Caenorhabditis elegans: one gene and its partner. The protein of the gene in region 2 purifies or fractionates together with the protein of the main gene of each other region. This does not show direct contact. Each region holds a gene or a part of one and is shown on either strand. Other genes may lie near its edges.

The links. The genes of interacting proteins can lie anywhere in the genome.
Region 1: the proteins of fog-1 (region 2) and fog-3 purify together in Caenorhabditis elegans (affinity purification with western blotting, with the first as the bait; one study listed by BioGRID). This does not show direct contact.

What each region holds. Positions count from the first base shown.
Region 1 is NC_003279.8:10,014,627-10,018,822, forward strand, and holds fog-3 (Anti-proliferative protein domain-containing protein), read left to right. Parts: upstream 1-2,138; 5' UTR 2,139-2,151; coding exon 2,152-2,223; intron 2,224-2,273; coding exon 2,274-2,355; intron 2,356-2,413; coding exon 2,414-2,515; intron 2,516-2,564; coding exon 2,565-2,667; intron 2,668-2,719; coding exon 2,720-2,844; intron 2,845-2,901; coding exon 2,902-2,990; intron 2,991-3,039; coding exon 3,040-3,128; intron 3,129-3,172; coding exon 3,173-3,302; 3' UTR 3,303-3,495; downstream 3,496-4,196. Other genes in the region: C03C11.1 (Collagen triple helix repeat protein), read left to right, coding at 114-516, 570-701, 747-811.
Region 2 is NC_003279.8:3,209,107-3,217,503, reverse strand, and holds fog-1 (RRM domain-containing protein), read right to left. Parts: upstream 6,459-8,397; 5' UTR 6,447-6,458; coding exon 6,385-6,446; intron 6,333-6,384; coding exon 6,230-6,332; intron 6,174-6,229; coding exon 6,073-6,173; intron 6,019-6,072; coding exon 5,771-6,018; intron 4,515-5,770; coding exon 4,302-4,514; intron 3,706-4,301; coding exon 3,560-3,705; intron 3,496-3,559; coding exon 3,193-3,495; intron 2,192-3,192; coding exon 1,742-2,191; intron 717-1,741; coding exon 483-716; downstream 1-482. Other genes in the region: rom-5 (rhomboid protease), read left to right, coding at 1-84; Y54E10A.17 (DOMON domain-containing protein), read right to left, coding at 7,278-7,415, 7,656-7,724.

The DNA of each region.
Region 1 (4,196 bases), 6.8 Mb from region 2:
GCATAAAGACCTTCAGAGACTCATGATCCTCAGGAGTCTGGTAAAAATGTCCGGCTTGCTTCAGATTGCTCTTTATCTGGAAATACGCAACTAATTTGTTTTCAGAGAGAAACATGGCAGAAAACTTTGACACACTTCTACAACTTGCTCATCTTGGTTACAGTACGCTTGCACCCATTGCTCTTGCTGGATACGTCATTGCACAATGTGGAGGAAAGAAGAAGGCTGGTGGATCATCGAATGGTGGAGGTGGAGCTAAGACTGGAGGTGGTGGTGCAACTGGTGATGATGGAAAAAGTGATAAGAAAGACAAGTCATCCAATGATCCAAAACCAGAGGGAGGTCCAAAGGCTCCAAGTGATAAGAATGCTGTCGCAGGAACACACGATCCAAATTATCAAACTCTTGCTGGAGTCGATGGAAATGTATTCCAAGAGAAAGGAAAAGCTCCTGCTGCTGCTGGTGGTGCTTCCCCTACGGCTGGTGCTCCAAAGCCTGGAGGTCCTGGAATGGCTGGTGAGTTTCATTGGATATTCAGATCTAGCTACGTACTAAAAATCGAATTTCAGCCACCCATGATCCCAATTACCAAACACTTGCTGGAATTGGAAACGATTGTTTCGACAAGAAAGACGGTGCAAAACCAGCTGCTGGTGGTGCTTCTCCAGGTGCTCCAAAAGCCGGTGGTCCTGGAATGGCTGGTTTGTTTTTTAGTTCACAGATTCTTGTTATAATCTAACTTTTAGCTACTCATGATCCGAACTATCAGACACTGGCTGGAATTGGAAACGATTGCTTCCAGAAGAAGTGAGGTCAACTCGAGCAAACTATCCTCAAAATCTTGTCTTCAAAATAAAATTTTTCAGTTGAATTTATTTATCATTGTGTTCGTACTTGGTATTTTCCAGATTTTTCTGAATCGAATCTGTAATAATCGGAGGTTTTGCGAAGACAAGGGCAATATGAACTATTTATATTTTTCACGTTTCTGGCCCGGTTCGAAGCTGATTCGCTGATGCTTCACAACAAAAACCTTCTCAAAAGGTACAATTTTTGCTCCAAATTTGCCAACGTTTCCGAGTAACATGTTGAAAATTAACTTACTTGATGAGATGAACATTTTCGTCTCTTATAATATCAAACTTTTTCGTTAATAAAGGTACATCTAGGTACTTAATTTTGGTTATTTTTGGTTACCTATTCGCTTTAGATGTACGATGTGAGATGTAGGTCAACGAAATTATTTGAAAATGTTAATTCTGTTTTCTCCTAATTGACGTAAAACTGATTTCTTGTCAAAGGTTTTTCAATTTTCCAGAATATATTAGAAAATTAGAGATTAATCAGACATAATAAAATGTAAAATATCGTCATATATAGTGTACACGAGCGTAAGTTATGAAAATTATCATAGACGTCTCGTAATAGAGGAATTATGGAAAGTGTAATTTTAAAAAAAGTTTAATATATAAAACGAAACTCAACTCTATAAAGTCAGAAAATCTCAAGAATGTGCGAATGCTCATTTTCATCATGGGTGGTCTTTCGTACAAGAACTGCCTAAAATTTTAAATTATTGTATAATTTGATTTTTCGAGTTATCGGTGTTTTCCTGTGATTCATGATTCTGAATTTCTCAAATAAATCTTACTGTAAACCGTCTCACCAATTTCTTCGTGGGTGGTCATCAGGGTACTGTAGTTTCTGAATTGTGTGATGCTGGTGCGTAGCTCAAGTTTACTTCATGGGCGGCCTATTCTTTTCGAATTTGCTTCATTATCATATTTTTAGCATATCTTCCTCGATTTCCATTAAATTTACAATTAATTCAATGGTTTCTTCTTCGAATACTTTTTATAAGTTACTTTTTCGTTAACATTTATTGAAAAAGAAGTACATTTTTCAATTATCTTTGTTGGTGGTCCTCGGTTTTGTCATGGGTGGTATTTACACTCTTCGCTCGCTCAATTTTACGTTCGCAATGCATAGATGAAATTTTTTAAACCGATATTGAGTTGATTTTGTCAGTATTTATGAACTCTTTTATTAAAATTAGAAGCTCGCACTTTCGTTTTCGTCGTGGGTGGTCTCATATTTATTGTTTTATTGTTTAATTTGTATCTCTCACTATAATTAAATTTTCAGGAGAAAATGTATACCGAAGTCCGCGAGCTCGTCAATTTTGTGTGCAGATACTTATTTGGACATATTCCAAGAAGACCGGTAATTTGAAACAATTTTTTGATGGTTTAGAGTTAATTTATATTTTCCAGGTCGGCATATTTGGCGCTGAACTTGGAAACTACCTCGTCTCACATTTCTCGTCTACCTGGGATGTTCATCATCCGAAAAATGGTAAGTTTTTTTGTTAAAACCTGAGAAATAGAACAAAAAATTATTTTTAAAATTCTAGGTGAGATGAAGCGAATGATTAACACAACCACTTCTTTATGCTTTGCAAGTTCTGCCGAAGAAGCTGGAGTCCCTCCGAGTGATGTTCTGCGTCTACTTCCAAGTTTGTAAAAATAAATAAATTGGTATTTTTCTAATTTTTTTTGTTTCAGCAAACATGATCATTTTTGCCAATCCGGGCCACGTCTTCGTTCGTTTATCGGAGAACGGAATCGAAACACCGATTTGGATTGGAGATGTGAACTGCGATGAGAAGTTGGATTTTATACAAGACAATATAAAAATACTTTAAATTTCATTTTTCCAGCTACCAATCAGTCCCCGAGTACGTGGTCAGAACCGCTGCAATCCGCGCGGAGCCTTGCTCGAATCTTGGAGCAGCTGGGAAATCGGTTCTTGTTGGAAAAAAGCCGCTTCTCACCAACGACAAAGGTGAATTTTTTTTTTTGAAAATTGAATCATCAAAACAATTTTGAAAATAAATTACAGCTGCTCTCGAAATGGTCAACACAATGTATTCTCCATTGGCGCGAGAGAAATGTGATGATATCAACGCAAATCTCTCTCATCTTCGGGAGGTATGCAAAAAATATTCAGATTCTAAATTTTATTTCATTTTTTTTTCAGATGTATCCATTCCGCTTCGTCTACAAGCCGTCATCTGCTCAAACCTTCAGTGGCGTTGAGTTCTCACAGACTCGTTTCGGATCTAGCAAGTTAGTTGGAATAAGTTATATGTAAACTGATAAAATGAATTCAGATCTCGTCCGGATCTTCAGACAATGGATGTCATCAAGTACCTCAGCTCTCAGCAAGTTTCGTCTTCGTCTTCGCCAAGCTTCACCTATTCAAGCATCAACGACCAAATGAGATATTCTCCCCGTTTTTAATTTCCCAGTATTAGAATCTCAATTATCATACCGTTTTCAAGTTAACCAAGTTTTATTTTTAGAATCTTTAGATTCCCACGAAAGCTTCATATCATGTACTATTGAATCGTGTTTTTATTATTTTTGTCAATTTATTTTTTATATTGTTCTTCAGTTTATTCCATTCAGGAATAAATAAGCCACAGTTTAAAAATATGGTTTTCATGAGATTTTCTAGCTAGGGAAATGTCCTCTGCGAGAAAGCAGACTGTGCGTTTTCTTCCAGGTGGCGACGTCAACATCAGCTCGGTGGTGTTGGATTCACAAAGGAATTTCCAGCCGAAAAGTTCTATAGAGATGCAATGTTTCTATAGAGATGCAATCTATAGAGATGCAAGAGATTTATGAAGGAACTTCCAATATTCAATTGAACACGCCAAATTAATTGATAATGAGAATAAATTGAGCAATTGATTGATCCGCCTTCCGTTGTATGCTTTTTGTAAATTTGAAAACGTATTGATAAATCTAAAAGTTGAACAATTTTGAATAAAATACGAGATTTTTACAGAAACCTGATGTAGGTGCACTTGTATCAACTTACTTAATTCAATCTCATACCGTACATCTCACCCCCACAGTTATATTTCTTATCACATATCGATGGAAACTTGATGAGACTGCTCCAACTGTATTCTGTACTCTCGGCAATTCGCCGCAACTTATCCACCAACTTTAGCAACTTTATAAATGACAAGTGCAGAAGTTGCTAACTTTGGGAAAAAAGTTGGATAAAGTTGGTCAAAGTAGGCTAATGTTGGATAAAGTTGGCTAATCTTGGCAGAACATAGGCAGCACGCGCGCACGTATTCTAACGATCCAGCTCCTAGGAGTTGGCATTCTTGACTGTTTCCT
Region 2 (8,397 bases):
GCACTTTTCCTTCAGGATGCTCTCTGGGAAAAGTATGGAGAATGGCTTGAGAATCTTCTTTTTTCGTCGAGTGAAGATAAATAATTGTTGTTTTTTAAAAGTTTCATATCTCATTTGTGTTACGCGGTACAAAAAAATTCTGAAATTATTTTTTATTTTCACAAGAGTCCCCACACTCCTCGTTCTGTAATAAAAATGAATACTTTTCAGGGGAAAAAACAACAAAAACATAGGCATTGTGCGTCAAACATGTTTATAAAACAAATCATGCAAATATATGGCGAAGTCGGAGAACAAAAATGATACAGATCATGATACAGATCATGTAGGTAACAATCGAAACAAACTTTACCGGCGGTGGGAATTGTGAAAACTTGTGGAAAATTATTGGAAAAACGTGAACAAATAACAGATTTTACAAGAGGTTATGGTGGTGGTGATAGTTGGGTGGATGGAAAAAAATGTTAAAAATACGAGAAAAACTACTTTCCCATATTAACAAGGTACATATTTTTGTCCTTTCTCGGACGACGTTCTGGTTTTCCGGCTGGTAAGAGGGTGTGCTGATTGGGTCCCGAATGGAGTTTGTTGGAGCACGATGGACAGTAGTACTGGCGACACGGAGCCTCTTTGCAGTATGCGCTCTTGTTGCTGTAGACGTTGGTACGTTTCATGCGTAGGAACTGTTGGAGTTTGGCTTCTGGATTCATTCGGACCTGGAAAAATATGGGTTTTTTCTTTACAATTATTATAATTAAAAATTAAAATTAACCTTAACTATCGAATTTAATTGTAGAAAAGTTTAAAAAAATCTAAATTTTATAAGATTTTTGAAAGAAATGGGAAAAATAATATTTATTCGATGAAGCGCGCTTGCATTTTTACTTTTTTTAAAATTTTTCTACTGATTTTTTATGTTTTCAGTTTATTTTTATTGAAAATTTTACGAAAATTGCATTTTTCTTGAATTTTTCGTTAAATTTCCAGTAAAAATACATTGAAAACATGGAAAATCAGTAGAAAATTAAAAAATAAAATATCGAAAAATGTAAAAATGCACGCACGCTCCATTGAACAAATAATTGCGATTTTTTCCAAAAAATCATATAAAATCCAGATTTTTTTGCTGTAAATTATGGAAAATGACCGAATAATAGGAAATTTTTTTTTCAAATTTGCCAAAAATTGAGTTAAATTATTTTTGAATTCCCGCGCAAATTCATTCGGCATTTTCTTTTCGAGTTTTCTGGCTTTTTTTCTTGATTTTCAACAATTTTTTAAATTTAAAATTTGATTTGAAACCCCGTTTTCCAATTTTCCAAGCATTTTTTTCAAAGAAAACTTGATAACCTAAAAAAAACATAGAAAATTGGCCTAAAAATCGACAATTTCCATTAGTTTCAAACAATTTTTGCGGAAAAATGTCTGAAAAATTTAAAAACTGTCATTAATTTGCGCGGGAACTCAAAAAACGTCGTTTTTTTAAATTTTTTCAAAATTGAAAAAATCATTTAAATTTTCGGGTATTTTTCGGTTGTCGTTGAAAGGGTTGTCGTTGAAAAATACTTGATTTTCCCGAAATTGTTTTAAAAATTCTTTGGACAATCGAAAAAAATTTAGAAAACGTTATTTTTTTTCTAAGTAGACGAAAAACGGCCAAAATTTAGACCAATTTCTGGAAAAAAAAAAGAATATCTTAGAATTTTTTTCATTTGAAACTTCAAAAAAAAATCAAAATTACCGGTTCAGTTCCCACATCATATTTCGGAGCAGGAAGGAATTTATCCCATAGATCTGGTCCAATTGGATATTCGTTTCCGTTCACAGTCACAGTCTTTTCCTTCTCCAATCCGAACGATTTGACCATTTCCAAGAATTTCCGAGCTCCCATTTCAGTCTCATTTTTCTCGTTTTCCCGGTTTGAGTAGGTGCACGCCAAATTGCAATTCTTCTTGAATCCGGCATCCATTTTCGTGATCAAATCATCGTGTCCATCACCAGAATTTAGTGAGAATGGGCTTCTGGATGACCACATATTGAAATTCTTAATTTCAGCCATTTTCTGTTCCTTTTGATGATCGTCTTTTGCACATTTTAAATGATCGTAGATGCTTAGGAATGGATTGAACCATAAACCTCCACACTCATCACATCCAACATCTTCCATCACGTATGGCTTGATCTCTATCATCTGAAATATGCAATTTTTTGGTTTTTTTTTAACTTTTATACTCAAAATGCTGCGAAAATGCCAAATTTTATACCTTTAGAAAAAGAAGACCTATTCTACACGTGGTGTCAGGCTGCCCCATTTCGGCTTGATCTATGTAGCTCTATGGTTCAGAACGTGCTGACGTCACGCATTTTTGGACAAAAAATTCGTAGATCAAACCGTGATGTGACAGCCTGGCACCAAGTGATTCTAAATAGCTAAAATCTTGAATTTTGCCAATTTTCCCGTGTCGCAGCTGTCGGAAATTAATTTTTATTTAATAATTGTTATATTTTCGCCATTTTTGTCGCTTATCTTACGTTATTTCGGTGTTTTTGGCGAAAAGTTCAGGTTTTATACTGAAAAATAATGCAAAGAACTTGATTTTTTTTGTGTTATTATACTCAAAAATGGCGCAAAAAAGCTGAATTTTACAGCTAGAATTAAAAAAATTTGAAAAAAGGTTTAATTTTAGCTAAAATCTTGAATTTTTCCCGTTTCGCAACTGTGGGAAATTGATTTTTATTCAATAATTGTTATATTTTGCTCACTTTTCTTTGTTATCTTACGTTATTTCGGTGTTTTTGTCTAAAATTTTATTATTTATTTTTATACATTATACTGAAAAATAGGGTAAAAGGCTTGATTTTTTGTGTTGTTATAATGAGAATATCGCAAAAAGGCCGAATTTTCTAGCTAGAATTTTCGAAAAAATGCCATTTCGCAGCTGTCAGAAAATGATTTTTATTCAATAATTCTTATATTTTGCTTATTTTTGTCGTTTATCTTACGTTATTTCGGTCAAACTCAATAAAATAACGTGGGGTAAGCGACAAAATATGCAATTATTAAATAAAAATCAATTTCTGACCGTTTCCACAGGGGAAATTGACCAAATTAGCGAGCAAAAAAATTTAGCAAAAATCAGGTCATTTTTTCGATATTTTTTAAATGAAAAAGAGGCATTTTGAGTAACTAACCGTCTTGCTCGAATCGATATTGTCGAATTTCAGGAATTTCTTCTCCAGTGCCCTATTAAACGCAGAATCCCGTTCGAAAGTCACTCGAGCCGCTCCTTTCGGGTATCCGTAGTCTTGATCAATATCGATTGTGACGAGAAGAACAACTCCGAACTCTGAGAACATTTGAGCTATTTCCTCGGCTGTTACAATTCTCGGGAGTCCTCCAAGAAAGACGGTCCGGTGAATATCGATGATACGGTTGTGACGGGCTTTTTCCAAGATGTAGAAACCGTTGTAGATGAACCAGGGACGGATTTGAATCTAAATTGGAAGTTTTATTAATTTTATTGATTTTAAAATTATTGATTATTTATTTTCTCCTAACCATATCTCTAAATCCTGGCACTGAAACGAAGAAGTCGTTTTGTGAATTTCGATGGCATGCAGACATCAGTTTGATCACTGACTGCTCATCCGAATAGACAAGGAACAAGTACGAGTAGGATCCAATGGCGATCGATTTTCCGCGAGCTGAAAATTGAAAAATTTAAGATTTTTAAATTTAAACAATTTAAAGGTGGTATAGTCGAATTTTTTAAAAATTGCTTTTTTAGACTCGAAATTGTCTGAAAAAAATCAAATTTTATGATAAAACTGCTTGAAAACTTCTCAAAAAAAAGTAATGACGGCTCAAAAAATGGCCTAAAATTAGTTAAAATTTGAAATTTGACCGACTTGTCAAGCGGCTGGAAACTGATTTTTTTGAAATCACTTGAGTATACAATGTAATTATCTTGCGTTTTCAACTTCATTTAGGTATTTTAAACATATTTTGGACGGCGAGATTTGGTAGAAAAAATTTGAAAATCTCGCCGTCCATCGACTTTAAAATACCTAAATCGAGTTGAAAACGCAGGATAATTACATTGTATACTCAAAATTAGACGGTGATTTCAAAAAAGTTAGTTTCTAGCCGCTTGACAAGTAGGTCAAATTTCAAATTTTAACTAATTTTAGGCCATTTTTTGAGCAGTCATAACTTTTTTTTGAGAAGTTTCCTCATGAAATTCGGTGTTTTCAGACAATTTTGAGTCTAACAAAGCAATTAAAAAAAATAAAAATCCTACAATTCGGCTTCTGCTTCACTGGCCAATCGACGAAAACCGTTCCAAATTGACCGAAGAATTTGTTAATGATCTTCCGATTCATCATATGCGAGATTCCACCAACGAATACTTTGTTGGAGACGACTCGTTGATTGTTCTCGTTCCGATGGTTCTTGACAACCGTGTGCACATCTTCGGCGGTGTAGATGTTGCCTTGATCGAAGCTCTTTCCATCTGGAAAAATGGAAAATTTATTTAAAAAACAAAAACTTATAGCGTAATACTTTAAAGGCACAAGCTAAAAAGTTTGAATGGGTCTCCCCGCGATCTTGCATTTTCAAGGCTAAAAATGTTAAAATTCACAAAATATGTTGATTAAAATGGAAATTTATCGATTTTTAGACTGACTTTCATAATTTTTTGAATAAAAATCAGCTGAACCAAAACTTCGGAACGAGAAAAGTCGAAATCATGTATTTTAATATTTTAAAGGCGCATGCTAAAAAGTTTGAGCGGGTCTCGGCGCGATCTCCAATTTTTAAGACTAAAAATGTTAAAACTCACAAATTTGTTTAACAAAATGGAAATTAATAGATTTTTTGACTGATTTTTCATTAATTTATTGAATAAAAGTCAGCTAGGTTACTTAAAAACCAAAAACTTCGGAACGAGAAATGTCGAAATCATGTATCGTAATATTTTAAAGACGCACGCTAATAAAATTCAATGAGGTCCCGGTCAGGGCTGAGCAGTCGCCCAAAAAAATCGGCGATCGGCGATCACCAATTTCCGAAAAATTTCGGCGATCGGCGTTCGTCTATATTTTTATATTGAAAAAAAAACATATTTTAAGAGCTATTTTAACGAGTTACCTTTCCGTTTTTTTGTTTGGTAAGGAAATGCGACGAAAAAATTAACATTTACTCAAAAAAAAAAAAAAAATTAAAAACAACAAAACAATCGTAAAAAAACATGAGATTTTAAAAATCGAGATGAATTTATTGAAAAATTCCATCGGCGATCGCCGATGAATTTTTTTCCTTCGGCGATCGCCGATGAATTTTTTTCCTTCGGCGATCGCCGATCGCCGAAAAATCACGAAAATCGCCGATTGCCGCTCACCCCTGGTCCCGGTACGATCTCATTTTTTACAACGCTAAAATTGTTAAAAACCACTTTTTTTTAAATTGAAATGGAAATTTTTGGCCGAGTTTTCTTTCTTTTTTAAATATGAACTACAATTTCTGTCTACGATATTCAAAAACAAAAAATCTTCTATCGTACTACTTTAAAGGTACATGCAAATATAATTTTAGAGAATTTCGGCACGATCTTAAATTTTTCACGGCTAAAAATCGATTTTCTTGTCTGCTTATCTTAAAAAATAATTGAATTTGCTTTCTAAGCTATTTAAAAATCAGTTTTTTTTTCAAAAATGAGCAATTTTCCTCGCTGAAATTTTAGAAAATTCAATTCAAATGAGCATTTACCTCTAGAAACGTGTGCTTCACGTCTTTGCTGCTGGTTGTTGTTGTGGAAATTGTAGGCGGACATCGAGTCGAACGAGCCAAAGTGATGGCCGAAATCATCAGAAGCAGCCGGTGATTGGCAGTGACTGGCGTATGGTGGAGCCGGGTTGCAACAGAGCACTGTGCTCCGAGAGCTTGACACTGTTGCCGGCGGGCTCATGAGGTACGAGCCGAAACCTGCACCACGATGCGGACGCTGCTTATTTTGGCTGAAATTAAAGAAAATAACCGGTTTAAAGCACATTCTCGAGCACAAATCGCACCTAGCCAAGAGCTCGAGTTGGAGTTTAGCGAATTCCATCGGAGAAATCTGTGATGCAAGATGCATAAGCAGGTTTTGTGCAGAAGCTTCGTGGAATCCGGCCTGAAAATTAAATTTTTTAAAAATTTTATTCTCCTTTTCTTTCGCTTTTTTTTTACCTTTTCACCAAACAGAGAGTGCTCATACCCATTCGTTTGCTGGTAAAAATGTTGTGGGCAGTCTGTGCGACGCTGGAACGATCTGAACTCGTCGTCGTGATGTCTGAAAATTCGAAAATTTCAATTTATTGGCTCAAAAAGAAGCTGTAACTTACAACAGAGAATTCTCCCGCTGGTAACCACGAGTCCATTTTTCATTGTGACCACTGGGAAACATTGGTTTTAAGCTCTGAAAAATGGGAAAATTTCGAAAAATTGACTTTTCTTCGTGGGAGGTCTGAAGAAAACGCGTTTTCTGTGAAGATTCAATACGGCAGAGATAAAAATTTCAATTGAAATTGATTTAATAACACTTAATTTAAAAAGAGAGTTTAACTTTTTCGCAAATTATAATTCATATAAGAAGGAAAGAAAATTGGTGGAAATGAGACCGCCCATGAAGAAAAATCATTTTCTTGTCGAAAAATTAACAATTTCATATTTTAGAGTTGGAATTTTAATTTCAAAATTATTTTAATAAATAATTAATCAATATTTACACAAATGTAAAAAATAACACGAAAAATTTAAAAATCCGCTGATTGGCCTAAACTTCGGTGGCCCAAGACCACACACGAAGATAACTAATTTTCTCATTTTCCAGATGAAAAATTAAGAATTTTATATATTAAAATTGAAATTTCAATTTTAAAACTAATTTAATTTGAAAAAAAAATCAAATTATTCTCAAAAAATGCGAAAAAAATCGATGATTGGCCTAAAATATCGGTGGTCCAAGACCACCCACGAAGAAAAGTGACTACAGTAACCTGTACGTCAACACCATCACGTCAAAATGCACAGACCGCGAAATTTGAAAATAGTTTATCTGAATTTGCGAATATATTAATAAAATGACCATTTAAATTAAGTTTTATATAAGAAAAAGCGATAAATTATTTAAAAATTTTAGAAAAAAGTTTTTTTAACCTCCAATTTCTGAAAAAAATATCGAATTTAATAAAAATAAAACATTTATTGACGAGATCAAGAAGAAAAAAAGTTATTTTTAAAAAGCAGCCGATGGATCAAAAATTCCGTTGAATCGATTCGAAATTCTATTATTATATATGGCAGCCTGTGGTACTGGATCATATGCCACGTCGCGTTCCGTAAATACTCCTGTACACTCATTCGGGCACACGTCCTGTAAGAAAATCATGTCAAATAATGTTAAAATCACGTGGTGCCAGGCTGCCCTAACACGGTTTGATCTACAAAAAATGCGGGAATTTTTCGCCCAAATATATGTGACGTCAGCACGTTCTTAACCATGCGAAATCAGTTGAGAACTCTGCGTCTCTGTTCCCGCATTTTTCGTAGATCTAAGTAGATCAAGCCGAAATGAGACACTCTGACACCACGTGTGAAATGAAAATTTTAATACCGTCAATTGAATTTCCGGGCTGCCGAGGTTCGACACAGATGGTCCATTTAATGGCTGGGCGTTGAAGAACTGAAAACTTGCGCGTAAAGTATGGTGCATTGAGAGGGGCGGAGTTAATACATCGGATTTCACACGCAAGTTTTTTTGGCGGGAAAATCGAATTTTTCAGAGTTTCCGTTACGGATTTCTGGCTTCCCTCATAAATTGAAATGGAAGAGTTTGCCGAACTAGGCCATTTTGGCTCGGCCATATCTGGGGTAGATTTACGGCGCGTTGCGTGTCGCGTCGCGGCTCGGTTTTAGTTGTAAAACTAAATGTATTTGTCCGTGTGGAGTACACGGCTTTCCCACGCGTTGTCCGGCAGGATTGTCAATGGAGGGCGAAAAATTCAATGAGGAAGGCCAGAACCCCGTGTTTCCGAAATTTTTTAAAAATCAAAATCGTCATTTTTGTGGGTTTTTTTTCTATTTTTCTCCACGTGGATTACACAGAACACTTGTCAGTAGAGCACTCTTGCATTTCTGGTATACCCGAGAGTTCCTGGATAGCAAAGCCATAGGTTTATTTTTATTTTTCCAAGCAAAAACAGAATCCCAAATTATTATAAAAATGGAGTGAGCAAAAGAGAGAAAGAAGTTAGTTAAAGATCTTGCGGGTACACTTGTTGGCACAAATTTCCACAGTGTGTGGAGCAGCATTGTGATATCCAATTGATCCGTCTTCGATGGATCCTTCGGTGACG